Linked DNA regions of Kluyveromyces lactis. The protein of the gene in region 1 purifies or fractionates together with the protein of each later gene. This does not show direct contact. Links are inferred from orthologs where the notes say so. Each region holds a gene or a part of one and is shown on either strand. Other genes may lie near its edges. The genes, in order: SGF11 and HFI1.

What was found.
Region 2: the proteins of SGF11 (region 1) and HFI1 purify together in Saccharomyces cerevisiae (affinity purification with mass spectrometry; 7 studies listed by BioGRID). This does not show direct contact. The link is inferred for Kluyveromyces lactis from reciprocal best matches to the Saccharomyces cerevisiae genes SGF11 and HFI1.

Annotation. Positions count from the first base shown.
Region 1 is NC_006040.1:984,321-1,000,126, forward strand, and holds SGF11 (SAGA histone acetyltransferase complex subunit SGF11), read left to right. Parts: upstream 1-14,349; coding exon 14,350-14,643; downstream 14,644-15,806. Other genes in the region: HFM1 (DNA helicase), read left to right, coding at 1-983; RTG2 (Rtg2p), read left to right, coding at 1,335-3,098; PRE4 (proteasome core particle subunit beta 7), read left to right, coding at 3,524-4,321; 3',5'-cyclic-nucleotide phosphodiesterase PDE1, read left to right, coding at 4,932-6,038; alpha-ketoglutarate dehydrogenase subunit KGD4, read right to left, coding at 6,378-6,779; DIG1 (Dig1p), read right to left, coding at 7,427-8,545; CAM1 (translation elongation factor EF1B gamma), read left to right, coding at 9,165-9,824; KLLA0_D11638g (uncharacterized protein), read left to right, coding at 10,767-11,942; CTA1 (catalase A), read left to right, coding at 12,465-14,000; ubiquitin-protein ligase RMD5, read left to right, coding at 14,878-15,806. UniProt on the Saccharomyces cerevisiae protein: Component of the transcription coactivator SAGA complex. SAGA acts as a general cofactor required for essentially all RNA polymerase II transcription. At the promoters, SAGA is required for transcription pre-initiation complex (PIC) recruitment.
Region 2 is NC_006038.1:895,192-912,091, forward strand, and holds HFI1 (Hfi1p), read right to left. Parts: upstream 10,764-16,900; coding exon 9,465-10,763; downstream 1-9,464. Other genes in the region: ATG41 (Atg41p), read left to right, coding at 650-1,039; KLLA0_B10263g (uncharacterized protein), read left to right, coding at 1,486-4,725; v-SNARE protein VTI1, read right to left, coding at 5,006-5,671; YAH1 (adrenodoxin), read left to right, coding at 6,375-6,875; CIK1 (Cik1p), read left to right, coding at 7,500-9,341; KLLA0_B10373g (uncharacterized protein), read right to left, coding at 11,468-13,171; KLLA0_B10395g (uncharacterized protein), read right to left, coding at 14,326-15,504; KLLA0_B10406g (uncharacterized protein), read right to left, coding at 15,485-15,922; KLLA0_B10428g (uncharacterized protein), read right to left, coding at 16,516-16,900. UniProt on the Saccharomyces cerevisiae protein: Component of the transcription coactivator SAGA complex. SAGA acts as a general cofactor required for essentially all RNA polymerase II transcription. At the promoters, SAGA is required for transcription pre-initiation complex (PIC) recruitment.

The DNA.
Region 1 (15,806 bases):
ACTTACAAATGATTCCTTTATTATCGCTCGAATACAGTGTAGAAGAAAAGACGGTAACTCAAAACGCAATCCATGTTTCATTTAAAGTAGAAGTACAAGCCAATTTTAAATCTGCATCTTGGCATGGTCAACAACTTTGTATGCTGATCATGTTGAAGACTGATACAGGCATATTAATAGATTTTCGGCGAACGTTCTTGAGTAAGTTAAAGACACCCAAAGCCTTCAGAATAACCATCCAGGTAGACAGAAACACGAATTTTATCGAGTTTGTCTATTCATGTGAGCAAATAGGCGGATCAAATCGTGAAATCAGGTACTATTTGAGTAATGGGTGCTATGACGATATGCCAAAATATTCGAATGTACTTGAACAGATTGATTCAAACCAAACTGGCTCTTTCCAAACTTCAATAAATTACAGTGACGCCAGGGAAACTATAAACAATGAAACAGATGATGATGAAGAGCTATTAAATTTGTTAGCGGAGAAAAATAATTCAAATGCTAACAATGAACGACAAGAAGACTGCGACAGATCTCTATTGGATAATGGAAACATGAAATGTCACCATACTTGCAAGGACAAGTCAACTTGCCGCCATCTTTGTTGCCGGGAAGGAATTCCTAGAAACACCAGGCGTAAGGCATCGAAACAGAGCATGATAAAGCATACTGAGAGTGTGCAGCAAGAAGAACCATCATCATCTAAGGATGCAAGAAACGATTTGCAGAAAGGATTATCTTCCTCCAAGAGTATGCTCCCTAACCTTGACGAATGTCAGCAAATGGAGCCAGAGCCGGTTCTGGAAAATCCAATAAATTCCCTTCCCAAGGTGTCTTCAGCGCAGCAGACACAAAAGATCACATATATAATACCCTCAAGTTCCCCTAAACAGAGTAGCCCTTTCGATACATCGTTGTCTGACACTCAAGATGCAGATTTGCTAAACTTCTTAGGATCCGACATTGAATTGGGCTAAGTCGGTGGAATCTTTAGCTATTATAATAATTTTCCAGCAGATTGGCATTTCTTTAATCAAAATACCGACAACCTATTTGTAGATGAGTTAGTGCAGCAGCAGCAGTCGTCATACTCGATTTGACCAAGAAAGATAAACCTTACCACACCTCACAAAATCACGTGCATCGTTTTTGATGACTATTTTCTGTTTTCTTTAAAATATTGAAGTTCGCAATCCTAGACAAGCTAGACAATAACCACCATGGGACGACTTAAGAAGGTATAGAAGAATTATCTAGGTTTCTAGCTGAGTAACAAGTGAAGGGAGGGGCTAACAGGCTTCATTGAGTATTTATAGCATATTTGAGGTATGTCAATGATATCTGATAGCGACAATGAAACTGAAGTTGTTTCACGCAATCTATGTGGTGTTGTGGACATAGGTTCCAATGGGATAAGGTTCAGTATTTCATCTAAAGCATCACATCATGCTAGGATAATGCCATGCGTTTTCAAAGATAGAGTAGGTATTTCTTTGTATGAAGTGCAATATGCTGCGAATTCGCTTATCAAGGCCCCTATTCCTACTGCGGTTATCCACGAAGTTTGTTCTGCTATGAAGAGATTTAAATTAATTTGTGAAGACTTTGGTGTTCCAGAAACAGGAGTCAGAGTAGTAGCTACAGAAGCTACTAGGGAAGCATTGAATTCTCAAGAGTTTATAGATGCTATTTATGACTCAACAGGTTGGGATGTGGAAATTTTGACCAAAGAAGAAGAAGGCAGGATTGGTGCTTACGGTGTCATATCGTCGTTCAATACTGTATCTGGGTTATACATAGACTTAGGAGGTGGTAGTACTCAACTATCTTGGATCAAATGTGTTAATGGGGAAATTACTCAATCATCTACCCCGGTTTCATTACCATTTGGGGCCGGTGCTCTGACAAGAAGAATGAAATTCGAAAGCAAGCACGTCTTACTTCAGGAAATTGTGGATGCTTACAAGTCTGCAGTCACAAAGATTGGCATCCCCAAGGAGATGTACGATGAAGCACAGTTAAACGGCGGGTTCGATTTATATACATGCGGTGGTGGCTTGCGAGGGATGGGTCATCTTCTATTATCGCAGATCAAAGAATATCCTATTCAAACAATTATAAATGGATTTTCATGCAGTTTTAGCGAGTTCTCAAACATGTGTGACTACTTGTTTTTGAAGGAGAGAGTTCCAGGTGAATCGGCAAGTAAGATCTTTAAAGTCTCTGATAGAAGAGCCAAACAATTACCAGCTGTAGGCCTACTCATGGCAGCAGCTTCCGAGTCATTGCCCAAGATCAAAAACGTTCATTTCAGTGAAGGTGGTGTCAGAGAAGGTACTTTATACTCGATTCTTCCAAGGGAGATTAGAGCACAGGATCCACTTGTCATTGCAACCAGACCCTATGCTCCTTTGCTTGTTCACAAATATTTGGAACTATTAAGGACTGCTATACCTACTAAAGAGATTCCAAAGATAGTATACGAAAGAATAGCTCCTGCTCTTTGTAACCTCGCTTTCGTACACGCTTCATATCCAAAGGAACTACAACCGACCGCAGCACTACGTGTAGGTACATCTGGTATCATTGCTGGGTGTCATGGGCTATCTCACAGATCAAGAGCTTTGGTGGGAATAGCATTGTGCAATAGATGGGGTGGAGACATACCAGAACCTGAAGAAGTGTACAAAAAGCTATTGGAAGACATTGCACTAAGAGATGGTGACAAACTAGAACGTGAAAGGACAATATGGTGGACAAAATACATTGGCACTATCATGTATGTCATTTGTGGTGTTCACCCTGGTGGTAACATTGGAGATGGTGTCTTCCATTTCAGCACTTCGGAGAAAGATGAATCGGCTATTGATTTACAGATGCTATCTATAGATGAGAACCTTTCAGGAAACGGCAAGCCAACTCCAACAGGGAACCCGAACAAGAGGATATTCGAAGTTGTTGTCAAGATTAACAGAAACGATCTAAAGACTATTGCTTCTGTGAGGCAAAGAATCATCACGTTGCAAAAGAAAATAAGGAAATTATCCCGTGGTTCCAGCGACAAGGTTAAGATCAATGTAGAATTCTATTGAACACTCAATTGCGATCTCAGTATGTATAGGCTTTATATAGAATGCTCTTTATTTTACTTCCCTCAGCCTCCCTTCCTGTTGAAGATTTAATATCTAATTTACCCTGTTTGTAACAAGCCTCAGACCCTAAAATGTGATATAAATATTCGTGAAAGCGCCATATAGGTAGTGTAGTGCGCTGCTGTGTACTACTATCCGATGGTCGTATCCTCTGTTGATCACTCTGTTTTAGCTGGAAAAATATAGCGTTACCCGCCCTTTAACATTTTACCTTATTAGAACGATTTTGCCACTATCGAATATAAGAGAGACATGCAATTCATAATTAATACATAAGGAGTTCACTTCACGACAGGTTACAATCAACACTAAAGAGTCACCAAGGGTATTTTCTGCGAATCCAATCCATTGAAACACTTTCCAACATGAATCACGATCCATTTGCCTGGGGAAGGCCATCTGACGAACACTATGGCGCGTACAATCATGCCATTGCCCAAGCGTCAAATAATCCAAAGATGAATACTCAGAACCCTATTATTACCGGTACTTCTGTCATCAGTATTAAGTATAATAACGGTGTTATTGTTGCAGCTGATAATCTAGGTGCTTACGGTTCGTTATTACGTTTCACAAACGAGGAGAGATTGATCAAAGTGGGTCCCAACACGGTTGTTGGTGTATCCGGTGACATTTCCGATATGCAATACATTCAACATCTATTAGACGAGATGGAAATTGAAAACAATTACGATAGCGCATATGCGGATAATGAGGAGCAATTGAAACCAAGCTTCGTTTTTGAATATCTATCATCTGTGATGTACCAACGTAGATCCAAGTTAGATCCTTTATGGAATGCGATAATTGTAGGGGGCACAGAAGATGGAAAGCCATTTTTAAGATACGTTAACCTATTAGGTGTCACATACTCTTCGCCAACGTTGGCTACAGGGTTCGGTGCCCACTTGGCATTGCCCCTTTTAAGAAAGCTAGTAGACACCGAAAAGGACGTGGAAAAAGTGAATCTAGATGTTGCTAAGAAAGCTATCCTAGAGGCAATGAAAATATTATACTACCGTGATGCCCGTAGTTCACGTAAGTTTTCATTGGCTATAATCGACAATGAACTGGGGCTCAATATCGAAAAGGACCTACAAGTAGAGAATATGTCTTGGGAATTCGCCAAAGACATCAGAGGATATGGTACCCAAAAGGTATAGGTTTCGGATTTACTTCGTCTTGTCTTCATGCTTTCACTTATCCACGCAGATAATACTTGCACCAAAATACACAATCTCATGCCAACAAAGGAAGAGCAACACATGGTGATCCTGCTCTGGTAATATATACTTTCTTTGTCAATAACGGGAAGACCTCACCTCTTCTGTGTTTTCTCTATAAATGTATACTATGCGTAAATTCTGAATTAGGGCACATATTCACACATAATACACCAAGAAAGAAACTGATCAAAACGGCGTCAATGCTGTCAACTACTGGACAGCCAGCTCAGTCATTATGTCACTAAGATATTTCGAGTGAAGGGACCTGTATATATGAAGGTTATCGTTGGAGTTACCTTTCTTTATTCTTTTACAGTTCCAATTCTTTTAGAAAACAAGTTTAATTCTATATAAACAAGTAGTAACCTAATTGATTAATGAATCATCGACAAAGGAAAGACTAGAGGACTTATAGCGCTAGCCCAGTATACCTATATTCCATACTCTCAAATACAACTGGCTTGTAGGGTAGGCATCTATACGCCAGGAAACAGATTTTTACCGATATCTTGCGATATATTTCCATTCTGGTTTCGAAAGTGAAAAGATGTCTACGTATCCTGGATGCTCATTTGAACTAACTATCTTAGGAAGCTGTGGGGGCCCCCTAAACAATCATACACAGAGTTTCTTGATGAAACGCGCAGGATCGAGTGAATCAGGATATATTTGCATTGATGCGGGGTCCGGACTAGCTGAGATCGCAGATATGATCTACGCACAGGAATACGGTAACACGTTCTTAGTCAAGAGTCTATACAAATCTAGTGCCGAAGACGTTTCACGATTTCTTGCACAAGGGGTACGGTGTACCATTGGGTTTGGTACACCAAGTGAAGTGTTCCTGAAGAAAAGCGCAGAGGCCCACAGCAGCATTATGAGGACCGCTTGTGAAATATTCTCCGAAGTTAGGGAATATTATATCACACATCCGCACCTCGATCATATGATGGGTCTAATACTCAATGCCCCATTAATTTACACCAAACTGGGATCCTATAAGAACGTTTATGGCACAGAACATACCATACAAGCGATAAAAGAACATATATTCAATGATAAGATTTGGCCCGATTTCACCACAGACAACACGATCAGATTAGAAGCACTAGAACCTTCGATTCGCAGGAATACCTATTCAATACAGGGCATTGATTGCATACCGTTTACGTTGAATCATGGTCAAACAATAGATACCAAAGAACCTGTACTGAGCACAGCGTTTCTATTCCATGAGCACCAAACTGATGGACATGTTCTGATTTGTGGTGACACTGAATCAGATCTTGTCTCCAAGACAGACTCTTTACTCAACATATGGACATATCTAGCAGAGAATGTACCCATTAATAACTTGAAGGCCATCGTACTTGAGTGTTCTAACACAGACGAAGTGGATACAAGCAAATTATACGGGCACTTGTGTCCTCAGCATATTATATGGGAATTGAAAAGGCTAATAGAGGTATACGATGTGAAGCCAGAGAATTTTAGCTTGCATGTGATTCTAACACATGTGAAGGATATCGATTCAGAAGAGGATCCCAAAATCACTGTGTTGAAACAGGTAAATAAAAGGTGCAAACAGCAAGGATTAGACAAATATAATATCAGTTTTTCCATGGCGATCCAAGGTTTTACAATGATTCTTTGATATACAGATTAGCGTGATAATTTGAAAAAAATTCATCCTTATCCCATTGCCTGGGCAGGACCAATCACATAGACAAAAGAATGGCAAGGATGTTTGGCACCAAAAGGTTATAGATGTAATAATTAATAGGTAAAAGTAGAATTGTTGTATTAATCATAATAGATAATGGTGTTTTCTAAAAAAAAAAGAATTGTATTCGAAATGGATCGTTTGCTGTTCAATGAGTCGTAGATATTGCAGAACCAAGTGAGTTCGTACAACTATGATAAATAAATGTATTGGTATTATGTTTCTTTAACGATTATGGAAAAATGAGAGGCTGAAAAAAAGGAGATCCTATCATATACCACCTCCGTTAATGATTTCTATCTCTTGTTCGTCCATAGGTCTCAGTTTGAATCTTGGGGGTAATTGTGATATGGATCCAACTTCATTTTCTTCCAAAGGTCTGTTTTTAAACACATATTTTGGTGAATTACCAGCAGCTTTAGTAGAGGAACCCTTACCGGAAGCACTCTTATTTGAGTTCACGTATGGAACCACCTTGAATGGAAGCCATTTCTTTGCGACTTCTTCGACCGTAGAACAACCGGGAGCACCAGGCCTTAGTGAGTCAACGGTACAAGGATGTAAACCAGCATCCGCAGCAGAATGGGTCACTACAGGGTGAGGGCCGCCAACAAACTTGATTGAAGGAACATATTTGACTGCTTTAGCCAAGTTAAGAGTGGAAGCACGCATCTTTACAGGCTTTATAATCTCTTTATTCAAAGTTTCAACACCAGATCCGCGAGCCTTTTTCAATATCTGGGTCACTGATCTCGTTAATCTATCAATGAACGTCACGGTGGATTAATCACTTCTTACAGCAAGTGAATGGTCTAAATAACGATCTTGAATTGCAATACCTTCGGGAATCAAAATCGGATGTATCACAAAATGAGGAAACCTTAACACAAAAGTGGGAAAAAAACCTGGTTACTATTCTTACTTCGACTGTTCAATCAACGATTCACAAGTAACCAACAATTTTATCTGTTAATTGGCAATCTACTCAGTTACAGGAACCTTATAAACCGAGAGCCTTAATAAAACTGATAGAGAGTATGTATATATATATATACATCAAGACCGTTAAAGGTTGGCAAGCATATTGGGATACTTCGAGGAATTAATATATTACCCGGCCATTGTATCGGCCCCGATTGGGAACGCGTAGAGGACGACCGGAAATCCGATTACGTGAGCCACGTGACCACGAGTGTCACGTGACAGAGTGTCACGTCTGTCCCAACCGTTATTCATCTGGATGGTCTAGTGACGCCATGCACTCGATCAAGTTGTTTAAAGTTACAAATATGTTATATGAGGGTGGGGAAAAGGAGCGCCTATTCCCTGCTTACTACATCGTCCCATATTTTGGAACAAATGCTGAGGAAGAGCTTCTTATCCATTTGAGGGTCCGTTGAATCGAAATGGAATTGGAAATTTTCCATCATCAGTTGTATATCGCCTTCTATGACGACGTTGTTGCTATGGTCTTCGATTTCAATGGCATCAAAGAATTCTCTCTTGGTGGATTTAGGTTGTACGCTTAATGGAGCAATTCTTGTAGTTTCATCCTTGAAAACGTCCCTTGTCACTGAATTAGTGGCTCTGATAGGGTTCGACACGAATTGTTCGAAACTACGTTGGGTGTGAGGTGGTGCGGTGGTTGTAGGGTAAGCTGTCATTGGCGCATATTGATGTCTCATCAGGGGACGCGGCACGATGGGTGACGAAGTTTGAAACATCGGAATTTGGCCCGCTAAGTTTCTGGTCAAAGACCGGCCTTTATAAATGACTCTTGGTTTCGACACTCTGCTGGTTCTTTGTGAGAATGTATGTGAACTTGGAATTGGATGTCTTGTTACCATCGGTGGAGCTGACCTTATATTGGGTAATGATCCATTAGGTGTATTTTGCTTTGATTTTAACGTAAGTGGTTTTGGTATGTTATTTCTTTTCAATGATTTGGATTGACTCTTGGAAGTGTTGATTGAAGTCTCGGTACCAGGAGTGGTGGTACCATCTATCGAATTACTTGAGGATGATTTGTCAGTTTCCAGGTCTGAGGCTGTAATATTATTATTATTTTTGATGCTGGTACCAGCTTTCTCAGCAAGTTTCGTGTTTTCATCATCTTGTTCTTGTTCTTGGTCTTCATCCTGTTCATGTTCTTTTTCGTGTTCTTTCTCGTCATCTTGCTCTTCGTCTTGCTCGTTTTCTTGCTCATGCTCGTGTTCATGCTCATCCTCATTTATCGTTACAGAATCCAAATTCATACGCCTGATCTGTCTCTTCTGCTGCATCGCAATGTACTTCGATTTGTTAAACGTTTGCAACCGTTCGTCATCCAAATTAGCAGTCGCTATCCCTGGCGAGATACACTGCAATCCAAGCTTCTGGTACTGCGAATCAGAAATTTCTATACTTGGTGGTGAGGGCATTTGATCTGTCATTGGCATGTTTTCTACTACTTATTTCAGCGCTACTGTCCGGATAAAACACTGAGATGCACAGCTGTCTTATCACAGTACTCAAATCTATCCACCGCTAGTGTATCTCTCGTGTTAGTGTGTTTATATATACCACTAAAGTCACAGAAGACACGAAATGTTTATTATTTATCAGACCCTCACTTAATCTTCAACGGCTATATGTACAGTCCAATTGAATACAAAACCTCTCAGAGATAGCAATCCGTAAATATGCAACTTTGCTTTACCTGCCTTACCTACCGTGACTCTGAGAACACTGTTGCCATCCAGTGTTGCTGTCGTTCACGTTCTTTCAAAGCCTTTAACGGAAATGTTTCACATTTTCTATATAAAGGGACTAAAAAGGAAACTACATTGGGAAGACATTATGGAACGAATGCAAACGGATAAAGAAAGGAGAAAAGGAAAATTTGTGTGCTTAAAGTTCTACCACTACTGCTAGGAATCTCAAACTTGACAATTGTAGTTACAGTGCTGTGCTATCGAACCAAACTAGTTTCATAAGCATCGATTGTGTTTACTTTTTTGAGGTTTTAAGGTAAAGATCCAATTAGTTAATTCTATCAACATTATAGAGAATTCGAAAATGTCACAAGGCACATTGTTTGCGAATTTCCGTATTAGAACCTGGTTACCTCGCGCAATTGTGAAAAGCTTGAGTTTGGACGTTAAGATCTTGGAGCCAGAGAGCAACGTAGAGTACTGGTCTAAGTTGTTCCCATTGAAGAAAGTTCCATGTTACGTTGGTTCTGATGGGTTTAAGTTAACGCAACAGCTTGCAATCTTAGTTTACTTGGTCAACTTGAGCGATAACAATGCTGAGATCCAGCGTCTACTAGGTAAGGGCAACAAGGAAAAAGCTGAGGTGTTGCAATGGCTATCTCTTGCCAATACAGACTTGTGCCTAGCTTTTACTCGCGGTGCATTCCCGTTGAACGGCAGAAGCCCTTACAATAAGAAACAAGTGGATGACGCATATGCAGAATTGGACAGACTTGTCCAAAGGTACGAACAACGTTTGAACGACCACAAGTACCTCGTTGGTGACCGTGCGTCCCTTGCAGATTATTTGAGTGCTATTATTTTCACTAGGATCTTCGAGACTTTGTACGGAAAGAAATGGCGTGAAGAACATGCAAAGTTGACGCAATGGTTCACTAATATCACTGAAGATCCATTCGTGTCTTTCTTATGGGAGGGTATTACACTCTGCGACGAACCATTGCCAAACCCACCAACCAAATGATCGCATTGACAAATTTCAAGTTTATACATCTCTTTATATACATGTCTTCTCTATCAGTAACACTTTGTCTATGAGATAAGCTTCAAAGATCGTCAAGCGAGAAGTTACCTCGAACGAATTAGGTACTAGCCGGTCTATCCGGGAAAAGCAGTCCTATAAGAGATAGAAATTCCGGGACTGTAACAGAATGTAAACATGAAGGGGTTTACGCTGTAATAGCAGTGTTCATTTTCCCACCATGTTGCATATTCGGGATGATTACTCATATTATCGAGATTTCTTTCCATATAAAGAGAGATAAAGATGGAGCAACCACTAGTGGAGAAAAGGGAAAATACAAGATCAGCTTGGAAGAAGTCTACAAACGGTATTTGGGAACAGAAACCAACCGGCAAGGACTGTCTGACTGTCTGCCCTTTCTGCTTGAAACTTCCTGTCTGATTGAATACCACTGCAATGATCGTGACATTAATAGTCATCCTAATCGGCTTGTTGCATTACTTCGTCATATACCCATTGGTCTTCAGTCCATTGAGTTCACTACCTGGGCCGAAACATCTGAAGTTGAGCAGTTGGTTCATATTGAACAAGGCTCGTACGGAACAACGTAATGAATATTTACAAAGATTGCATGAGAAGTACGGGGATCTAGTACAGATAGGTCCGAACGAGGTAGCCTTCAATTCCTTCAAGTACGTGAAACAGATTTACATGGGAAATTTCCCTACAAGAGTTCGAAAACAATGGTGTGGGGTTCTATTCTCAGTTTGGTAACTTCAACACGAGGAACATTTTCAGTACCGGTGATACAAAGACCCATATCCAAAAGAAGAAGAACATTTCGAAAATATACTCCAAGAGTAATGTGATACAAAGCGGCGTTTATATCAGCGCCAAAGTTGATAAAGCATGGATTCAGATAGATAAGAATTGGGGAAACCGATGAACGTGTATTCTTTGTTTTTGGCTCTTGCCTTGGATGTCGTATCTGGGTTTGAATATGGGCCACAGTACAGTACGAATTTCATTACGGATCTGGATCATACCCGTGAGGGGAAAGCTCATCGGAACGAGTTATTCCTAGGGTTCCAAGAGAGTAGTAGCATGTGGTTTTATACAACACTGGCCCCAATGCTATGGGACACTGTAGCAAGATGGTATGGGATTGGTGAGAAATCGGCCAAATCTCAACAATGGATATGGGATAAATTTCAGGAGGCATTAAAACCGTTACAGCAGGGAATCATAGGGTCATCTACCAATGATAACACGATAGTATCACCTGTGGGTAACGTACTATCCACGATGTATGATGAGAAAATCGGAAAGGGACCAATCTCTCAAACACAATTCAGAGAGATAGCAAGTGAAATCGCAGATCATGTGATAGCGGGCCACGAGACTACTGGTATCACCTTGACTTACATATGTTGGGAACTTTCAAGACCTTGTAACAGACACTGGCAAGATAAACTGTTTGAAGAGTGTAAAACAGTACCATCGGATTTACAACGTTTAGACCAAATGCCGATTCTTCACAGTATTGTCCAAGAGGCATGTAGACTCCATTCGGCGATCCCGGGCAGCGAGCCCAGATACGTCCCACAAGAGGGGCCCAAATTCGAAGCTACACTAAGGGATAAACACGGAACCCGTGTAGAAATTCCACCGGGGACCATAGTATCATGCCAACCATGGTCGTTACACCTACTAGAAACACCATTCGGTGCCAATCCAAGACAATTCAATCCGGCAAGATGGTTAAGGGACGAAACAACAGGGGAAACCGAACAAGAGTACGAGAAAAGGTTAACGAAAATGAACAATTCCATGTTCACTTTCGGACAAGGAAACAGAATGTGTCTTGGCATGAACCTTGCATTGATGGAGATGAAATACTGCATAGCACAGCTGTATTCAAGGTACACCACTGATATTTCTCCCGAATGGTGCAACAAGGTGTACCAGCAACAGACAGATTCGTTGATGGGGACAAGTGGACGTGGCAGAGCCACGTCCATCAAAGGAACGGACGTCGACATGATGAGAATGGCAGACACCTACACTACAAGACCCTTAATGAACGAATGCTGGCTTGAATTTTCATCACGTGACTAATATGCACGACCCATATCGGCTGCAATTTCCTAATACGGAGAAATACCCCGCGCTTATCACCAGAAATCCTCCTCACTATAAAAGCCGAAACTGCATCGGAAACCTTCACAGAAAACACCGTACTACCGCCACCTTAAAACCTTAAGCGGTCGCTTTTGCCCTTTACAGAAGCCTCAAGCCGTTATTTCCGGGTTATCTCAGCATTCGTTCATCCCTTATCCTCAATTCCTCTTGCTGAGTCAGGCTCAAATAGCGGCCATTTCCTTTTGATATTGGAGATTACACAGATGGTAATTTAGATGATCCATTGTATGGATTGGAGATCATTTGGCAAAAACTCGTTTATTTATAATGGAACAGAGTATATTAGGGCTATATATATAACATCATGACTGATTCTGTAACCGTTTCTTCATTCATAGTGTCGACATACTTTTACCGATACGGTTGATTATATTTACAGTAGTATAAAACCATTACTGAACATAGCATTCAACACATAAGCAAAATTTTTTTCTAACCATGGGCCATCCTACTAATACTGCGGATGTTAGGAAAGACCGTGTGGTCACAAACTCTCAAGGTGCTCCAATTAATGAACCATTTGCTACGCAACGTGTAGGACAGCATGGTCCTTTGTTGTTGCAGGATTTTAACCTTCTTGATTCGTTAGCTCATTTCAACAGAGAACGGATTCCAGAACGTAACCCTCATGCTCATGGATCAGGTGCGTTTGGGTACTTAGAAATTACAGATGATATCACGGACGTGTGCGGTTCAGCGATGTTCGATACCGTGGGGAAGAGAACGCGATGCCTTGTTAGATTTAGTACTGTTGGTGGTGAGAAGGGTTCTGCCGATACGGCACGTGACCCAAGAGGGTTCGCTATCAAGTTCTATAGTGAAGAAGGGAATGTCGACTGGGTCAACAACAACACGCCAGTCTTCTTCATCAGAGATCCTTCTAAGTTCCCACATTTCATTCATACTCAAAAGAGAAACCCAGAAACCAATATGAAGGATGCTGACATGTTTTGGGACTTTTTGACGACAGAGGAGAATCAAGTCGCAATTCATCAAGTGATGATCTTGTTCTCCGATCGTGGTACTCCAGCTTCTTATCGTAACATGAACAGTTACTCGGGTCATACTTACAAATGGTCTAACAAGCAAGGTGAATGGCGCTACGTGCAAGTGCATTTGAAGACAGATCAAGGTATTAAGAACTTGAACAACGAGGAGGCGACTAAGTTGGCTGGTGAAAACCCTGACTACTGTCAAAAGGATTTGTTTGAAAACATCGCCAAGGGTAATTACCCATCTTGGACCCTTTACATTCAAACTATGACCGAAGAAGAGGCAGAAAAATTGCCATTCTCTGTATTCGATCTAACAAAAGTTTGGCCTCATAAGCAGTTCCCATTGCGTCGTGTAGGTAAGATGGTTTTGAATGAAAATCCAGAAAATTACTTCGCTCAAGTGGAACAGGCTGCATTCTCCCCATCGCACACCGTCCCATACCAAGAAGCTTCTGCTGACCCTGTCTTACAAGCACGTTTGTTCTCTTATCCAGATGCCCATCGTTACAGATTAGGCCCTAACTATTCTCAAATCCCTGTTAATTGTCCATATGCATCGAAGGTTTTCAACCCAGCTATCAGAGATGGCCCAATGAACGTTAACGGCAATTTGGGCAAAGAGCCAAACTATTTGTCTACTTCTAAGAAGTACCAATTCATTCAACAATCAAAGCCAATTCAACAACATCAAGAAGTATGGTCTGGGCCTGCAATGCCTGTACATTGGGCAACCTCACCAGGAGACATCGATTTCGTTCAAGCCAGAGACTTGTATAACAAAGTGTTGAGCAAACAGCCAGGTCAACAAAAGGCATTGGCCCACAATGTCGCAGTACACGTAGCAAGTGCATGCCCTGAAATCCAAGACCGTGTATTTGCCATGTTTGCAAGAGTCGACCGTGGTCTATCTGAAAACATCAAAAAGGAAGCTCTGAGCTTATCCCCAAGAAAGGCTGCTGCATTGAATGCAAAGTTATAGAGAGAATTAGCTGTGCTTTCTTTCTCTCTCTCTATCTCTTTCCGCTTTGTATGTACGTTTTATTTATCCCCATATTTATTACAAGTATACTATTAATATCTGTCCGTAATGAGATGCATGGTATCAGGCATTGTAGCCGCTAACATGTCGACTGTTGTCTCTTGTATTCTGCTTGTATTCCCTGTGCTTATCGTCAATTTTCTGCAATATCCAATTTTAATAGAAAAGCAAGGTCAAATTAGCTTACTTTGATATTGAAACAATCAATTCTGTTCTACGATCAGACATAAGACAACAGTACTGACTTGACTTATTCAGTATTTGCAACTATCAAGAGGTGGCTGTAACCATGACTGCTTCTTTGACCACAGATTCGGTTGCCGATTCCATATATCAGAACATTCTTACTTCTATCATCCAAGATATCATCTCGCGTCAAACAGTGAAGAGAAAGCTTCTGAAACTGCAATTCCCGGATGCTAAACCGTATTACGCTGACCCGTCAGGAACATTGGATATACACGGTAAGGCAAAGCAAGCAGACTCCGCCGTTTACATCGAATGTAATGTCTGTGGACGGGAAGTTAGTGGGAACAGGTTCGCTGCTCATCTCGTTAGATGCTTATCACGTGGTAGAAGGTGAGATTTCATTACCCAGCCTTAGTGCAGCCTTAAATCTTCCCCCAAACCCATAATGTGTGTCATTTCAAATCAAGTTGTCCAGCATCGTACCCTGTACCCTTAAACCTGTGATAACGATCTTTAACCCATCATTATAACGGTGTAAAGAGTTGTCAGGTGTTACTCTACAGAAGAGCGGAAAGTTAGAGACACTAGAACTAGCAAGTACCCTTCAGAGAATTAAACTGAGTTACTTATGTCGACTTTGCTAGAGACTTTAGATCAACAATGGGTCAATTCCAGATTATACGTTGATAAAGACGAGCGCAGGACCCAGCTTGGGAAATGTGTTGAAGAAGTGCACGACTTTAAGATCCAGTTGAAGAAATTGAAAGCGCATTTGCTGAAGCATGGATCAAGTCCACAGAAACGTCTTGTTATTAGGGAGAAACTAGCGAAATCTCATAAGAACTGGGATTCTTCCATGAAGAAATCCTTAAACTCTTCTATCAGCACTTACCGGAAGTTTTCAAAGGCGTGCGTCAAGCCCTTGAATGAGTTTCAATTGGATTCTGTTTATGTGAACAAGATAAACCCTCAGAAATTGTACTATTTGGATACGGCGATCTTTTCTCACATCGCAAGGTATTATACTAATATGGCTGTAGGAACCACGTCAGATGAAATGCTGAAGTATTTGCACTCTACGTATAGGATCCCCAGATCTATTGCAATGGATTATATAGAAATGGCCAACATTGTTAAAGAAATGAGATCAGGCAACTTGAATACCTGTATCCGATGGTGTCAGGATAATAACCTGGAAGTACTTCATTTCCAATTACATTACCTAAACGCGATGTCATTGTTGTCTGAAAATAAACCTATGGAGTGCTACTTGTATATACAGACGAACTTGGCGTCGACAGTGAGTAAAAGTTCTCAACTACGGATGGCTAGACCTGTGTCCGCATTGTTGGCTAAAATTGTCATTGGAGATACAATACCAGCCTCAAAAGTAGATGCATACTTGGAGACGTGCGTGGAGTGTTTCACGAAACAGTATTGTCTACAGAACAAACTTCCTTTACATTCAGCGTTATTCCTTGTCGTGCTAAGTGGGGTTATCGGTTTCCAAGTGTTCACTAAATATGAAGCCATTAGGAAAGTATCTCATGTGGACTG
Region 2 (16,900 bases), on another chromosome or scaffold:
GAAAAAATTTTCTCCGTCCCCCGCTAGCACACCTGAAACATGCTCCGCCTGGGGGGGACGGACCATCGGTTCACTCTGTAACACTCTGTGTTACATAATAAACTACATGAAAGATCGTCCCAAGTCCCATTACGGCAACTAAGTAAAGGTTATCCAGGGTTATCCAAAGTTATCCAACGTTATTCAAGGTCATTTCAGACTACAGGTTTCCGCCTCACGTGTAATGTCTGCACCTTGCTCTGGCATGTTTTCAGAGGTGTGGTTTTTCTTTCTTTTAGGCCTTGCTGGGTCATTCTAACAACTTCTTTGGGCCTTGAGAAAATTTTAAAGTTTTGGGCAGTCATGCGCAGACATGGGCCCAAAAAATAGAAAGTGACTAATCTCTCTCAGTGTGGTGGTGGTGGTGGATATTGTGTGTGTCATTTTGTTGACTTGTTGACTTTTCCTCATTGCACCTAGGAATGACTATTCGGTGATCCAGGTGTGTGATTCATAATTGCAGGTATGTGACGTGAATGTGTATATAAGATGTGTATATAAAGATGTATAAGTCTGGTTAAGTAATGATACCTCTTTTCTATTGAAACCTAACACTTGCTAGCTACAACCAACCAAACAATCAATCAATCAAAGATACATATATCCAACAATGGACGCTGAAGAAGTTTTCGCATGCTCTCTAAGAGAGTCGTACTGTGATACGACCGATTACACATTTGTTAAACCACCACTATTATCTCACACTCCAGATTTGGACGAAGAGGATTCCACCTCTTTCTCTCAATTCTACGACAATTTGGACTCAGACCTAAACAATTCACACCTGATACATACCCCATTGTTATATTCGGTGGATCCGTCCACTAGCTTCCTAGACGACGAAATGTTCTCTCTAGATCAGGATACCGCTACGTCTACTTTGTCAAAGCCAAGATCAGAAAATCAAAAGGCAATTGTGATACAGGATTCGATAGGTACAGATACAGGATTCTCTACTGTGCCTCAAGACAACTACAGGATATGGCTAGAAAAATTCTAAACCACTGTGGTCTTCCCCTTACAACTCCCATTAGCATTGAATTCTGACATACCTTTAACTAATTACCTTTTGCATTAACAAACATTATCGCTGGCCTTTTTTTTTTTTTTTTCCTTTTCTAGAACTATAACGATTAGATTATACACTATGTAGCATTCTTTAGTATCAATTTCATACATCTGTGTTTCTTTGATTTCTGATGATATTTCCCCAGGTTTCCCTTCTCTCTTTGTGTTTCTTCTTCTTCGTTTCCCTGTGCCTCTTTTAAGGGTAGCGTTCGATTCCATTTTCAAGGACTTGAAATAAAGACAAAATAAAATGTAAATAAAAAGCATATACCTTCGAGGGATTTACAATATATAATTGCCAATATATATATATTCATTCTTTCTCTTTCTTCCTGTCACTTGCAAGTGTCAAGCAGCTTTCGATTCTCCGGGTTAGAAATGTCAAACGGAATGACTACTGAGGAGAGAAGGTTACTTCAGAACAAAAACAAAGAGAAGTACTGGTTGAAATGGGGTCCGTATCTATCAGAGAGAAGTTGGGCTACTGTTAAAGAGGATTATTCCCATGATGGTGACGCTTGGTCGTTTTTCCCCTTCGAACATGCTAATAGTAGAGTATTCAGATGGGGCGAAGATGGGTTGTTTGGTGTTTCTGATAACAGACAGCTTATCTGTTGTAACGTTGCGGTTTGGAACGGCAAGGATTCAATCTTAAAGGAAAGAATGTACGGACTCACTAGTCATCAGGGGAACCATGGTGAAGATGGTAAAGAATTGTACTATTATGTGGATAATTTACCTTCGCATGCTTATATGAAGGCTATTTATAAATACCCTTTCAATAAACCTTACCCCTATGAGGAATTGGTAGCTAGGAATTCGGAATTGGGATTCGAAGATCAAGAATTCGAGATTTACGAAATCGATGGTTTGTTTAAGGAAAAGGACACTGGAGATACCCCATATTTCGATATCGTGTATGAAATGGCCAAGGATGACGATAATCCTAACGATTTGAGTTTTAGAATCACAGCTTATAATCGTAGTACCTCGAAGACAGGGGAATTATATATTTCACCACAAGTGTTTTTCAGAAATACTTGGTCCTGGAACGAAACCGATCGTGTTAAGCCTCATCTAGAGAAATCTGGTAATAACTTTGTTACTTTGTCCACAGAGAAATATGGGACCACTTACGCGATTTTTGCCCCTTCACCGGGTGAGTTTGACGACGGAGAAGATGATCATCCGACTACAGTTGCTACTAATGGTGTTGATGACGATCAAGGTATCCTAGATGTGGAACCGGAGTTGTTGTTCACAGAAAACGAATCGAATTGGAAGAAATTGTTTGATTCAAAGGAAAACCCCACCCCTTATACCAAGGATGCCTTCAACGAATATATCGTCAATAAGGATACCGAGGCAGTAAATCCGAAGAATGAAGGTACCAAGGCATGTGGTGTTTACCACTTTCCCAAGGTTCCCCCTGGTGAATACGTCACTGTAAGATATAAGTTGACTGATACCAGGTTACCGATGTTCGAAGATGAAATGGTTATCGACGAAGATGACTTTGACAGTCTTTTCGATAGGCGTGAACAGGAAGCGGATAACTTCTACTGGAGAGTCACTCCGGCTCCGATCCCAGAATCTCTGAGAGCGGTGCAAAGACAAGCTTTTGCCGGATTGCTTTGGTCAAAACAATTCTATCATTTCGTGCAAGACGAATGGTACTGCGGTGATCCACTGCAAAAGCCTCCTCCACCAAAGAACCGTGCAAATGGGAGAAACAAGGATTGGAAACATATGTATGCTGAAGATATATTATCCTTGCCAGATAAGTGGGAATATCCATTCTTTGCTTCTTGGGACACCGCGTTTCATTGTATCCCATTAGCTATGATAGACCCTGAATTTGCAAAGAAACAATTGGATATTTTTACGAGAGAATGGTACATGCATCCTAACGGACAAATTCCTGCTTATGAATGGAATTTTAGTGATGTAAATCCTCCAGTTCATGCATGGGCTGTGTACCGTGTTTTCAAGATTGAAAGAAATATGTATGGCCGTGAGGATAGAGTGTTCTTGGAAAGAGTATTCCAAAAACTTTTGTTGAACTTCACATGGTGGGTTAACCGCAAAGATCATGACGGTAACAACGTCTTTGAAGGTGGATTTTTAGGATTGGATAATATTGGTATCTTCAATAGATCAGAACCTTTGCCAACAGGTGGAACATTGGAACAGGCAGACTCGACTGGTTGGATGGCATTCTTCTCATTGCAAATGTTAAATATCGCATTAGAACTTGCAAAGGAAAATCCTGTCTATGAAGACATTGCCACTAAGTTTTTCGAACACTTTTTGTACATCAGTGATTCTATGTCCTTCAAATTCGAAAAGAATAGTGCAGACAACTTCAAAGAGGAAGTCAAAGAAAGTTTGTGGAATGAAGAAGACCAATTCTATTACGATGCCATTTCTTGGGGTGAACCATTTAAGCAACAACTACCAATCAGGTCTCTCGTTGGTTTAATTCCATTGTATGCTTGTATGACTTTGGAACCGAGAATCTTAGATAAGTTCCCTGGCTTTAAGAAACGTATTGACTGGTTCCTTTCCAATAGAAGTGCCATGTTTGATAGAAATATTGCTTCTATGGAAAAAAGAGGTATCGGTGAGAGACTTCTATTAGCTCTTGTTAATGAAGATCGGTTAAAAGCCATCTTATCTAGGATGCTCGATGAAACTGAGTTCTTATCCGATTACGGTATAAGATCTCTATCTAAATACCATGAAACCCACCCATTCTCTATGTCCGTTAACGGTGAACAATACGAAGTCAAATATTTACCAGGTGAATCAAACTCAGGTATGTTTGGTGGTAACTCCAATTGGAGAGGGCCTGTTTGGTTCCCTACAAATTTCTTGCTTGTCGAGTCATTGCAAAGGTTTTTTTTGTACTATGGTCCTGACTTCAAAGTCGAGTGTCCAACGGGGTCTGGCGAGTTCCTAAACTTGGCCCAAGTGGCAGAAGAACTTCAGCATAGATTAATTCATTTATTCATCCCCGATGCCGAAGGCCAAAGAGCTGTATATCATGGTGAATACAGTGAGTTTTTGTCTAAGGATCCTAATTTCGAGGAACTAATTCCTTTCTATGAATATTTCGACGGTGATACTGGTAGGGGCTTGGGTGCAAGCCATCAGTGTGGCTGGACTGCGCTAGTGGCTAAATGGATTCATGACACAGGTTTATCATGTGTCAGGTTGCCTAGAACTCCTAGATCATCTGTCACTCTGTCCAATTTAGACAAAACTCAAGTCGATTCATTGTTAAACGAATTAAAGCCTAACATGCCACGTAAAATTGCAAGGCGTAAGAGTTCCAAGTCGTTAATTAACTTAACAGCTACGCAACTTGAGTTGACAGAAGAGGAGAAATATCTACATTGTATTGGTAGCACAAGACGTGAATCTGCAAAACTTGCTCAGCGCTCCGGAAGCATCATCAGTAGCGAAGAAGACGATGAAGAAGGTGTGACCTTCGAGAAACTGAAACAGAACCAGTTAGCCGAAGAAGAATCACGTCTAGTAAATGAATTAAGGAGGCGTCTATCTCATACCACTATCAATTCAGCTGATGAAGATGAATTAGAATGTCTTCCATGAACAGCGCTATGCTATTCTGACCGGCCTTTTTCCATCACTATTACTATCATTATCATTATTATTTTTATTATTATTATTTCTTATATCGTTCTTATTTTATATACAACTAGATAAGTATTCAAAATCAGATATCATTTATACACGGTAAATTGTATTCTTCTCATGAGAGTATAAAATTATACCACAAGGGTCAAAATTAAAATTATATAAATTCATTACTATAGCTATTCTGCTTAAACTTGCATTGAGACTGAACTAAAAGACGCAGAGAAATCGATTACTATTTGAATTTGGAGAATATCACTAACAAGATAAGTAGTATCAAAACCGCTATTATTGCGTAAGAAATGAACTTATTGGCTATGAGTCTTCTAGTCATGGTTTTCAAAGTGCGAATACTCTTGTCGACGTACGAATCAGCATGGAACAAAGTTTGTCTTGCATTCTCCAATGTTTCTCTTTGAGATCTCAAATCCATCATTATCTGTGCACCAACGTTCTCAGTCTCGGATGCCAGTCTTGTAGCATCCTGTAATTTATCACCAGAACGTTGTAAAAGCGCATGGTTCGATAAAAGCTGTTGCCTTTGTTCATCATTATCGAAGTGGCGACCTTCAAGTAACTTATTCCTATCGCTTTCTTGCACCAATTGCTTTAAAGGATCCTTAATTTCATTCTGACACTGTCTCTTATAATCTCTGATCTTTGCTTTATAAGATGCCCTTGTCTTAGAATCCAACGAGTTCCCTGTATTATTCAACTCTATTTCCATTTGATCCACTAATTCTAAAGATTCATCATGGTACTGTTGAATTTGTAAAAGTATATCCGATTTTCCACCTTTTAAAACAGCACCGGCATCATTCTTAGCATTAGCAAGCAAAACCTTCGCCTGGTTTATAGCGACTTGACATTCAGATTCATAGTTCTGCAATAATGAGGACATCCTGATAAAATAATATGGTTCAGAACCTTCCTTTTTATATTATCTCTTCCCGAATTTCACAACCTAAAGGAAATTTAAGGTTTGAATGTAAACTTGCAGGCCAATGTACGTCTGAAGTAGGCCCCGTTACCAGCTATAACAGCTTAATCACCAGGCCTGCTTTTCGTTGATTCCTAACATTAACTTGAACTCATGGGAGAAGCTTCAATAAAGGGAATAGAAAGAAAAAGAAAGAAAAATACATTGTTCACGTGACTTTGATTGAGTCATGTAAAGACCAGTATCTAGATAAGGGCAAACAATCATTTTGAACCACATCCGCCAAATCCGCGGAAGACCGAGGTGGAATCAGGCCCAGAAACGGTCTGTTTTTTTTGTCTTTGGTTTCATTTCATACCGGCGTTTTCATGAACACTGACAAATTGGGAAAAATCCGATGAGATTCAATAATTGAATGATTAACAATAAGCATTTGCCAATTTCGATGTGAACTGAAGGGAGAACTAGATATAAAGCAACCTTTTTTTGCCAAATAAAAGCTACTTAAGAATCAGAGTTGATAAAAGTTCAGGACAGCTTTTTTTCTCATTGTGGTATAGCAGACGGAAAGGGTCTTTGGTTTCCTTTTAGTAACACTTATCGTTGTTGTTTGTGAATTATTTTTAATCATCCATATCTATTTGGAAAAACTCCTGTATAATCAATGATCAGAGGAATATTGACTAGACAAGCTGGGCATCTGAACCAGTTAAGAGCCAGAAGCATTACTTCTCCTAGCATCTCTCACAACATATGGTTAGCCCGTACAAATTTGTCATGGAAGAGATACCATGGACATTTACATAAACCGAAACCGGGAGAAGAGTTGCATGTGACATTCATATTGAAGGATGGAACACAAAAGACTTTTGAAGTGGCAGAAGGGGACTCTCTCTTGGATATAGCTCAAGGCCATAATCTAGATATGGAGGGTGCCTGTGGTGGTTCTTGTGCTTGTTCGACCTGTCACGTGATTGTGGACCCAGACTATTACGACGCATTAGAAGAACCTGACGATGATGAAAATGATATGTTGGATTTGGCTTACGGGTTAACTGAGACAAGTAGATTGGGATGTTGCATTAAAATGAATAAGGATATCGATGGTATCAGAGTCGCTCTTCCTTCAATGACAAGAAATGTTTCATCTTCAGACTTCGAATAGAGAGAATGACTAAACTGAATTCAGTCATCATATGAAAAGAGACAGCTTTAGATCTTTCTTTTTTTCCCAACAGGGGAAGCATGACATGAGTGACACCAGTTGCATTACCTGTAAATAGGAGCAATCAACCAAGCTCGTTCGCAGTCCATTATCATTATTATTATTTATCATGCATCAGTAAAAGTTTCCCCACGCTGTGTACCGGTGCTATCTATGCACAATACATACATAGTTAAAGGTATTTTACTGTTACCCGGTTACCATATCGTCTTTCACATAAAGAAAAGATATATTTGTTGTCCACGTGACTTTCAAATGACATTTTACGTATTCATCGCTTTTTTTGTAAACATAAACAAATAGACTGTATGAGAAAAGCTTGAAACATCAACAGTTGTTCAGAACAGGTTTTGGGTTCGGTTTCAGGTGTGTCTCACCTGTGTATCACTGATTTCAAATTGGGCCGTGCGTTTGTTACTGTAACTACCGAGATAACGGGCGCCTTAATTTTCTTCTTTTTATTCAATTACCTGATTTTAAGGTAGGCATTATATTACGATTGCGGCGACAATCCTGATCAGAGCTTGTCAAGTCAATGCTATTGATGAACAGTGACCTTTTGTTATGAATGAGACTCGAATTCCATCTATAAATTCAAGAAAACGGCAGAAGCCGTTTTCTTCAGGTTCTGTGTCTGGACAGAAGAAGCATCATCCTGTGCTAGCAAATATAACGAATATGGTGACCACTACAGGAACAACGACAGTAGCTAACAGTAGCGGTTCGAAGAAGGAGCAATTTGCTCCTTCATATCAAACGAAGAGTCAAAGTACGAATATGAGACTATTGAACAAATATTTTTATGGGGATCCCAACGTTATTGAGGAGGTTAAGAAAAGAGAGAGAAAAGCTTTAAAAGATATTCACTTGTTTACTAAACAGATTGAGGAAACGGATTCTCGGTTGGAATCCCTTACTTCTGAGGTTATCCCGCAGCTCAAATACAATTTGAACAAAAGATCCATCATTTTCAAGCACTTGAAACAAGAGACCATGGTGATGCAGGAACAATTATATCAGTTGAAGAACGATTGTGAGCTAAAGAAGAAAAACCATGAGCTGATAACTAACAACTTGAATTTAGAGCATTCTATAAATATACAAGAAGTGATAAATCAATGGCAGCTGAAAATATCTGATAAAAGACACATCTGGGAACTTGAGTTACAAAAATTAAAACAAACTAAACCTGATCCGGCTGTCCTTAAAGAAATCGAAGAGTTAAGCACAGATAAAGCGATCATAGAGAATGATTTAAAAGATTTGAAACGTAAAAACCATGAACAAATTCAATCATATGAGAATGAATTAAAATTACGATTGGAAAAGTTCAAAGAAGATAAAAAGGAACCGCTGATAGCATCCATAGAAGAAAACAAAAAACTAAAGATTAAGATAAATGATCTGAAGGCAACTCAGGAAGCACTACGAGATAAAATTCGAAATAGTGTTGATACTGAACTTTCCTTACAAGAAATTATTAAAAATAAAAGATTGGAGCTACAAACGTTAGAAGCTTCATTGGAGCCGGTAGAGGAGAAACTTAACCAACTTCAATTGAGATATAAATCAGAGAAAGATACCACTGATGAAGTTAAAGCCAAAGCTAAATTAGCAGAAGCGGAATACAATAAAAATTATGATAGAATGGAACAAGAGCAATCGCAAAGAAGAATCCTGGAAAACACAATAGATGAGTTGGATGGTCACATTCGTTGTTTTGCATATCTTAATTACGACGAACTTAATGACTATGCAGTAGACTATATGAACAAATGTATTATCGGAGATACAGATGTGTTTTACTTTAGCAGAATTCTTCCGAGAGACTTAGTATCACCTTCAAACCTTTTCAATAATGAATGCTTCACCTTCGTCGATTCGTGCTTAAAGAGTAAGAAAAGTTGTAATATTATATCAATAAACGATGATTTGAGGAAAGATTTCCTACGAACGATAAATGAACGATTTTTGAAATCCAAAGTTCTTGTTCAGATGGTTGTATTGAACGACAGTGACCTTTCGAAGGATTTATTAAATTCTGAGGATTCTGATTTATCCGCTGTCATTGACGAAAAATGTATTGATTTCCATTCTAAAAGACTACCGATTGAAGAAGTGAATAATTTTATACTTCCCGATTTCAGAGGAATTCATGTTATGAAATTTGAAGTCTTCGATAAAGAAGATGATTTTGAAAGCATATTTTTCATCCAAGCACCTACTAAGGAAATTCAGAAAATGAATGCGATTGATATCACAAAGACGGCTGTCAGCCCAGTCTCGACCTTCTTGCAATCGTTATTATTAAGACTTGAATCCTTAATAATATTCAATTTTGATACACCAGATTCCTCATTATTACAATTATCACAAACTTTACATAAACTACCAAATCCGAAATAGTAGTCATATTCCCTGTCTATAAATTCTACAAAAAAATGAAAGCGTGGAAATTGTTCGATTAAATCAATCAGAAGAGTGACTTTTGGCTCCTTCAATTGAGAATATTCGCAATACTGTTAGTCATTATTTCTTTGTAAGAATATCTTTAATTAGCCAGTTAAGCTCTTCCCGGCTTCCCATATTCTTTTCGTCAAGGGGAGTGAAGTTAGGCTTTTCCCGTTTATAATGAAATAGATCATCGACAGGACTTTTGAAATGAACGATCTCATCGTCATTTACCAACCCATTTGTAGTTAATCCAAGGTATGCACCTGTTGGATCAACAACGTTGGGGAATATCGTGAACGAGTCCAAAGCGTCTTCATTTGTAATGGATACAGTTCTGTTACCAGTAATATCCTTCGCTTTATCACTCTCAGTCTTACTATTTGCTAACGCACTAGATGCTTGTTGGAACCCGTCATCGTTTAGGTCGTAGAAGTCCGAGTATTTCTTTTCTCTGTATCTTACTGTATCTATGGTGGATTCAATAATTGTCTTGAGATAATACTCTAATGCAAGTGATACGATATCAACACATCGCGAATCTATCTGTCCAACAATTCCATTTTCTCTTGCAATTCCTAGCATTCGAAGATAAAGAGACTCATTATCCGGTAAAACATATGACTCGGTAGAAAGTTGTGTTTTGAAACCATTCATGATCTTTTGGGACCATTCCTGTGGGCCCTTCAGATCTTGTTGCTGAATTCTCTTGGCAGTTTCCTGGTTGAAGACGCAAGGTAATTTCGGTATCTGTCTCAATCTAGCCTGTAGCACTGAACATAATACAAATCCTCGTTTTCCTGCTTCCTTTGTTATCATTTTTAATCGTTGTCTATCCGATAACGGTAGGGAAACAACAATTTTTTTGTATAATTCGATCTGCGAGTTGGGCTTGTTTGATCTTCTCTTATTCTGTTGTTGAGAACCGTTCTGGAACCCCCATTTCGATGATTGTGGATCATCGTCGGTGGTTTCTCTAAGAGAATTAGTGAATATCGATAGTAAAAGTTGGTTATGCAATCGTATTAAATCTCTTGGTTTAATATTCGGCTGTTCTTGGGTAGGTTTAAATAGTAAGTCTAATTCATTGACCAATTCCTTTCTGGACAATTTTCCGAGTATGAATAACGAAATCACTCTGGCATATTTCGCCCAATGCTCTTTGCTTAAAACTTCATTAAATTCATTAATCATAGATTCAATATCCAATCGCTTATCCTGAGGAAACCCAACGTTTCCTCCACCATTGTTATTACTGGTTTTGCTGATTTCCTTCACCGAATTGGTATTGTTGTTCTGATGGTTGCTATTAATACCAATATCTTCATGAATTGTCGGCGTACCACCTGTTGCAACTGTTGGCGTTGATACAGACATTCTCGGTCACGTGATTCGATATGCCTTTTATTTTTGACAGCGTTCTAAAATAAACCAAAGTAGAAATAAACCGCAGTAGCCAGAGACGAAAATTGACCAGTGGAGGGTTTCAAAATGAGCGGTAACCACGGCTAAATTGTCACCTTTTTTCAGATTATCAGTAATTACTTATCAATGCACAGTCAGTGCACAGTCAAAATCCGAATGAAGTACCTTGTTGTCCGTCAAATAGGGCGGCTTTCTCTTTCCTGAACTCGCTAATCTCATCCATCCTATACAATTTCATTCGATTTTCTGATTTCTTCATTTTCAAACGGAAAACTAAAACCGAAATTCGATTGGAAAGGCGAAGTGAGGGTAATTCCAAATAGTACTCAGTAATACGACGCGTAATGGGTATATGAGATATGGCTTTTGAGGAAATGAACACTATGGTTTGCTAACTTGCTGTCTACTGTAATATACTTTGACCACTGATACCACTCCTGGAACGGAATTGTCAATAGTATTCTGGCTATTCAATTACATCCTTAAGTATCGAAATTCCACTTTTATTCATTAATGTGATGAAATCACTCGACACTTCAAGAAAGAATCTGTCACGAGACAAATTGTTTCCGAATTGGTGATAAATGATTACTGACATTCTCGACTATTTATTAAATATTATTTATTAGATACTTGTGTTTGTGAGGTGAGGATATTCAGAAACCTAAGCTGTTATAACTTGGCGGAGAGCAGCTAGATGAAGTTGAAGGAATGTATATCAGAGATGAATTATTTGTTTGATCAAATTCACTACCAATGGAAACGGGCATGGCTTTACCATCCATAGCTGGTTCGTAAGCTGGTAAATGCAAGCTGGAACCCATATTTTTATCAATTATCATAACGGGCACCTTGAAATTAATGTTAATACGTCTTGTTTTGTCAGGAAAAGTGCCGTTAGTACAATCTTCCAGAGATGTACCAGCAGTTATCTTTAAATGATGGGTAATCTTAAGTTTAAAACGTTTCTCAGTTGAGTTCCTCCTGCTTAACCTTAACCTTGATTCCTCACAGTAGTATGGCAAGATCTTAGTCATTAAGGAACTTGTTTTAGAGTTTGTGTTAATTACAAGTTCTTCGAATTTAGCAGTTACCAGCTTCGATTCGTTATCATTTGGAGTGGGAAAATAATGACCCAAATGGACGGTATTAGTTTGGATATACGATTTCTTCAAGGGTGTAATGCCATCTGATTTGAGGCATGGTATCAGAACAAGCTGCACTAGGGAAACTGTGACCTTGGTGACTTTAGCTCCCATTTTCGTCAGAAAATTAAACTGACAGTGAAATGGACAGTTTAGTTCAATCAGCTTAGAAGATATGAAAAAATCATAATCTAAGAACCCTTCGTCATAAGTTCCCTGTGAACTGATTGATTCATATTTTAAAAGTGATGATGGGGACAACGTCTTAGTGATCAGAAATTTATGCGTTAAAAAGATAGTTTCTGAGAACTTAGAAGCTAATTGGGTATTACAATAGTTATTAATTGAAGAGGTACCATTAAATGGTGGTAACACAGTCATTAAAGTTTCGATTCTGTAAGATGTTGCACCAACCAGTGAATCAAACGAAGAATGATAATTGAAGGGATCCAAAATGAATGTGAATGGAATGATATATGTACCTTTCGTCAACACCATAGGGAATTTTTCAAAGCATGAGATCTCATCAGTGACAAAAGGTTTGAAAGAACTGAAATTGTCACTAGAATTATCTTTCAAGAGTCTAACCGATCTATCTTTTTTCTTTTGAACGTAGAAAAGGTCATCTTCTGTATCGTCGGAATCTGTTAGGTCATTTTGAGTTTGGCCCTTATTCGACCCCAAAACACAGATATACTCCCTTGAGTAACCGTTCAATCTCACTTTCAAATCTTGGACTATCAAAGACGTAGATTTCACAGTAATGACTAATTTCCCTGTCAACGAAGCCTTATAGTTGGATAATTCTTCTTCTTCACCTGGATAACGGTTCAAATCCATTAAAGAGGTATGCGATCTTAAATCCTCTTTCAAACCAGGTAAGTATACAGTATCGTTATCCAAGACTAACTCAACCCTCATGGTGTTCGAATCATGAATTTTTTTGGTCGGATTCAGTGATTCATCAAATGCATTATATAGGAAGGATGATGATACATTAACGTTCTGCCTTTTAAGGCTCTTCAATGAAATAATTGGCCGAGAGGACCCACCAGAATTGTTATCCCCACCGTTAAAGGGATTAATTTTCGGTCCTGCTGGAGAGATTCTTTGGTCAAGCACAACGGGCAGATGGTTTAAATCGTCGTTCTGATTATAAGCCGGAGGCTTTTTGTAGTCACATGACCCTGATAAACTGAGCTTACGGAAAAACATTATTTTTCCGTGGTTTTCAGGCGCGTATCTGTCGTCGGTCAAATTATGTGTTCTGCCAGATTTGTGGTATAACAGATTGTGAGTGGGGAAAGAAGAAATCAGTAACACCCAGAAGGGGCAAGATGGCGAAAATACTTATAAGGAAATTAAAGTAGGTGAACCAGAAGGCAAATGAGAAGAGAAGACGCGAAAACGCGTTAGTTTATATAATGCCAATTTCTGATCCAGATTTGTAGGACAATGAATCAGATTACACAAAGTGATGATTTGTCATACTCCGCATGTAAAACTGATTTTACATCCCCATAATAGAGCCACTATAGAAAAATATTTATTTAAATTGATTTAAATTAATTTCTTATAATTGTGGAAGATTAGTATGTTTAACTCGTACTTTTGTGGTCGAAATAAATTTCTAGATATCTTAGTATAGTAATGAACAGATTGCCTACCACTAGTCTAAGTAAGTACGGATAAAACATAATTCCGCAACTCTATAGGTATGTAAAAGATGAGTTGGCCAGAACTAATCTATACTCATCGGATCCAAAATACGACGTTGGTCTTTTTTGATTTATGGTGAGTTTTCCCTTTGTACTATCTAAGAATAATGCACAAAGTAAGAGTTTTTTGATATGTAGGAATATTCATGATGAAATTGAAGATATGTGTTGTCAACGCTGCAGCACCGTTAGTGTTTCACGTGTGGTATTCGCTCTGAACTAGTCTAATAACCCCTCTTTTTCATTTCGGTCTTTTTATGCGGAAGTAGGCAAACCTTAAAAGACACTATAGTGCCGCAGCACAGCGTTATTTGTTATTCAATATCAGCCCTAATACAATATGACTTCATTGAAGATATTCTCAGATATGACACCTGGGAAAATGAACCTCATGAGAAATAGTAATGAGTCATTAACATTTTTGCAAAAATTTATCACTTGTGACTCATGTCTTTGACAGGCAAATTTTGCACCAATTACCGGGACAAACTGAGAAAAAGAATGGGGGCAGTTCCAGATGGCAACGAATGACTTATCAGCCATTGATTTATCCGCTTTTTATATTAGAATCTGAATTAAAAGTCATATATGAATACGTATTATATTAGTTATTGTTGAAGTTGACCGGCAACATATCTGTCCACAAGATTATCAATGGCACAAGCCAGAGTAAGCTGGTGGAGAATCAGCAGAGGATAGTGATATGGGTGAGGAATAAGAATTATATTCGTCTTCATCAATTGTAAATGGCCCATTGCCTGATATAGCCGGCGATGGAGATTTATACGCCGGCAAATACAGGCTTGAACTTATATTCTTGTCAATGACCTCTATTGGAATTTTGAAATTAACATTAATGAAATTCTTTGAGCTTGAGTCAGATCCAGAGGGATTAATCGTAACAACAATTTTCAAACGATGCGTAATGCTCAATTTCATTACTTTTTCGCCATCAACTGTCTCCAACCTCGAGACTTCATTGTAGTAAGGCAATATTTTCGAGGTGAACAGATTGCAACTGGAACGGGTAGCAATTTTCAGATCCTCAAATTTCGTAGTAATGATATTAGATTGTTCATCGGGCGGTACGACATACTCTGCCAAGCGAAACGTATTGGTATTCGAGTACGATCTCTTCGCAGCAGCGATGCCATCCGGTTTGATGCAAGGTAGAATACAAGTTTGCAGCAGAGAAACATTGACTTTGATGATCTTAATATCGGGTTTCCCAATACAATTGAAATGACAATGGAACGGTGAGTCGAATTCGATCAATTTTGTAGAGATGTAAAAGCCATAATCAATGAGTCCATTTTGAAACGTACCGTGAGAATTAACAGATTCGTATTTCAAAACATCCGAAGGTGACAGCGTCTTTGTGATGAAACATTTTTGCGAAAGAAAGTAATTCTTAGAATCTCCCGAATCGGTGGGGATACCACTGATGATTCCCTTGGAAGGCTGCATCACCCTCAATAAAGTTTCTACTCTGTAAGTGGTGGAACCAAAAAGAGATCTGAAAGACGAATGATGTTTGATAGGATCCAATTCAAAACTGAAGGGTATAATATATGTACCCTGGGTTAAAACCATTGGATACGTATCAAAAGCACTGATTTCATCGGTGACGAACGGTTTCAAATACGAAAGGCTACCGTTTGCATTATCCTTAAGTAGTTTTAGTTGAGGACAACCATCGACGCCCGTTTCAAAATCAAGTTCCGCTTCAGAATTTGGATCTGAAATGCTACCATCTTTCAAATGTTTTTGTTTCATCATACACACGAATTCAGTAGAGTATCCGTTCAATTTAATCTTGAAGTCTTGCATCACACAAGTTGTATGTAGCTTTCACAGTAACGATAACTTTCCCGGTGAGAAGAGCCAATGGGCAATCCGATGAACTACCCTGCTGTTCAAATAAACCAGGTAAATAAACTGTGTCAGTATCTAAAGCTAATTCCAATCGCAGAGATTTGCAATCATGCAATGGTGTTGGCGGGTTCAACGCCTCATCGAATACATTATAATGGAATGGAACGTTACCCAATTTTTGCACATCTTTCAACGTCTTCAAAACCGTTTTTCCTTTCGAAGGGTTGACTTCATTCAAGGGAGCTATTTGAGGACCCAAAGCAGATGTTCGCAAAGATGAAAAAAATGGTTTGTGGTTTAAATAGTCATTTTCTGTATATTCTGGTGGATTCGAGCTGGAGTTCCCGCTTTGACTCAATTTTCTGAAAAACATTAGCGAAATTGTTTTATTTTTGGTTACTTTATCTTTCAGTGATCTTAGAAGCTGTAATTATAATCCATAGTAAGATAATTTGTCTGGAAGAGTATCCATTAACACACGGACAGTATACCATTATATATGTTCAAGAGAAGCATGTTTTTTCAACACCGATTGAACCAAGTATACTGCTGCTGGTGGAGTTTTCTTGAACGATAATGAATCATAACTGTGACTCGAGCATTCAATTTGTAATACAGTATAATCATTTTACCAGACAGATGTCAAATTCAGACAAACAAATGTTAAGAACAACGTACACCAGCAGATAGCCGCGATTAACCGAGTTACCAGACATCTCAATTCCTACCTAATAAGTTCCTAATTGTTCTGCCAGTTTCCAGCCATTCCAATTCCACTCCCAGTGCCAATGTTCTGAATTGTGTCATCTGTCATAAAATTCAATATATGAAAGAAAATTAATGCGTGTTCTTGTGCTGTCCTGTCCTGAACAGGGTTCATGTTGACAAATTATCCGCGGTTACCCTGAGATATCATAGAATCGACGGAGCCAACTTTAAACTTTTTCCACCTACATGCGGAAAAAATTAGGATGGTACTCCGGAAAAGTAATCAGTCCATCGAGTCTCCCACAATCTTAATTTTTTTTCCACAAGTATTACGACTTTTTTCCCAACGGAATTTTTGCCTGGCGGGGATTTTTCCCAAAGTCTTCTGTGCATAAGACCGATCACGTGATATGACACTAGCTTCATTGATAAGAAACTCTCTGAATCGATTGGCCGATTATGGCCGGGTAATTTAATGCTCTTAGGTCCCCTTTTCTCCTTTTCTCGGTGCACCAGAGAGACAGAGAGAGAGAGAGACAGGTGAAAATGTGTCACACATAGTTGACTATCATAGAAGGGGCCCGGGTAATAACGAGATATTCGCTTAATACTGACACATTTTTGATAGTGACTAACGTCACGT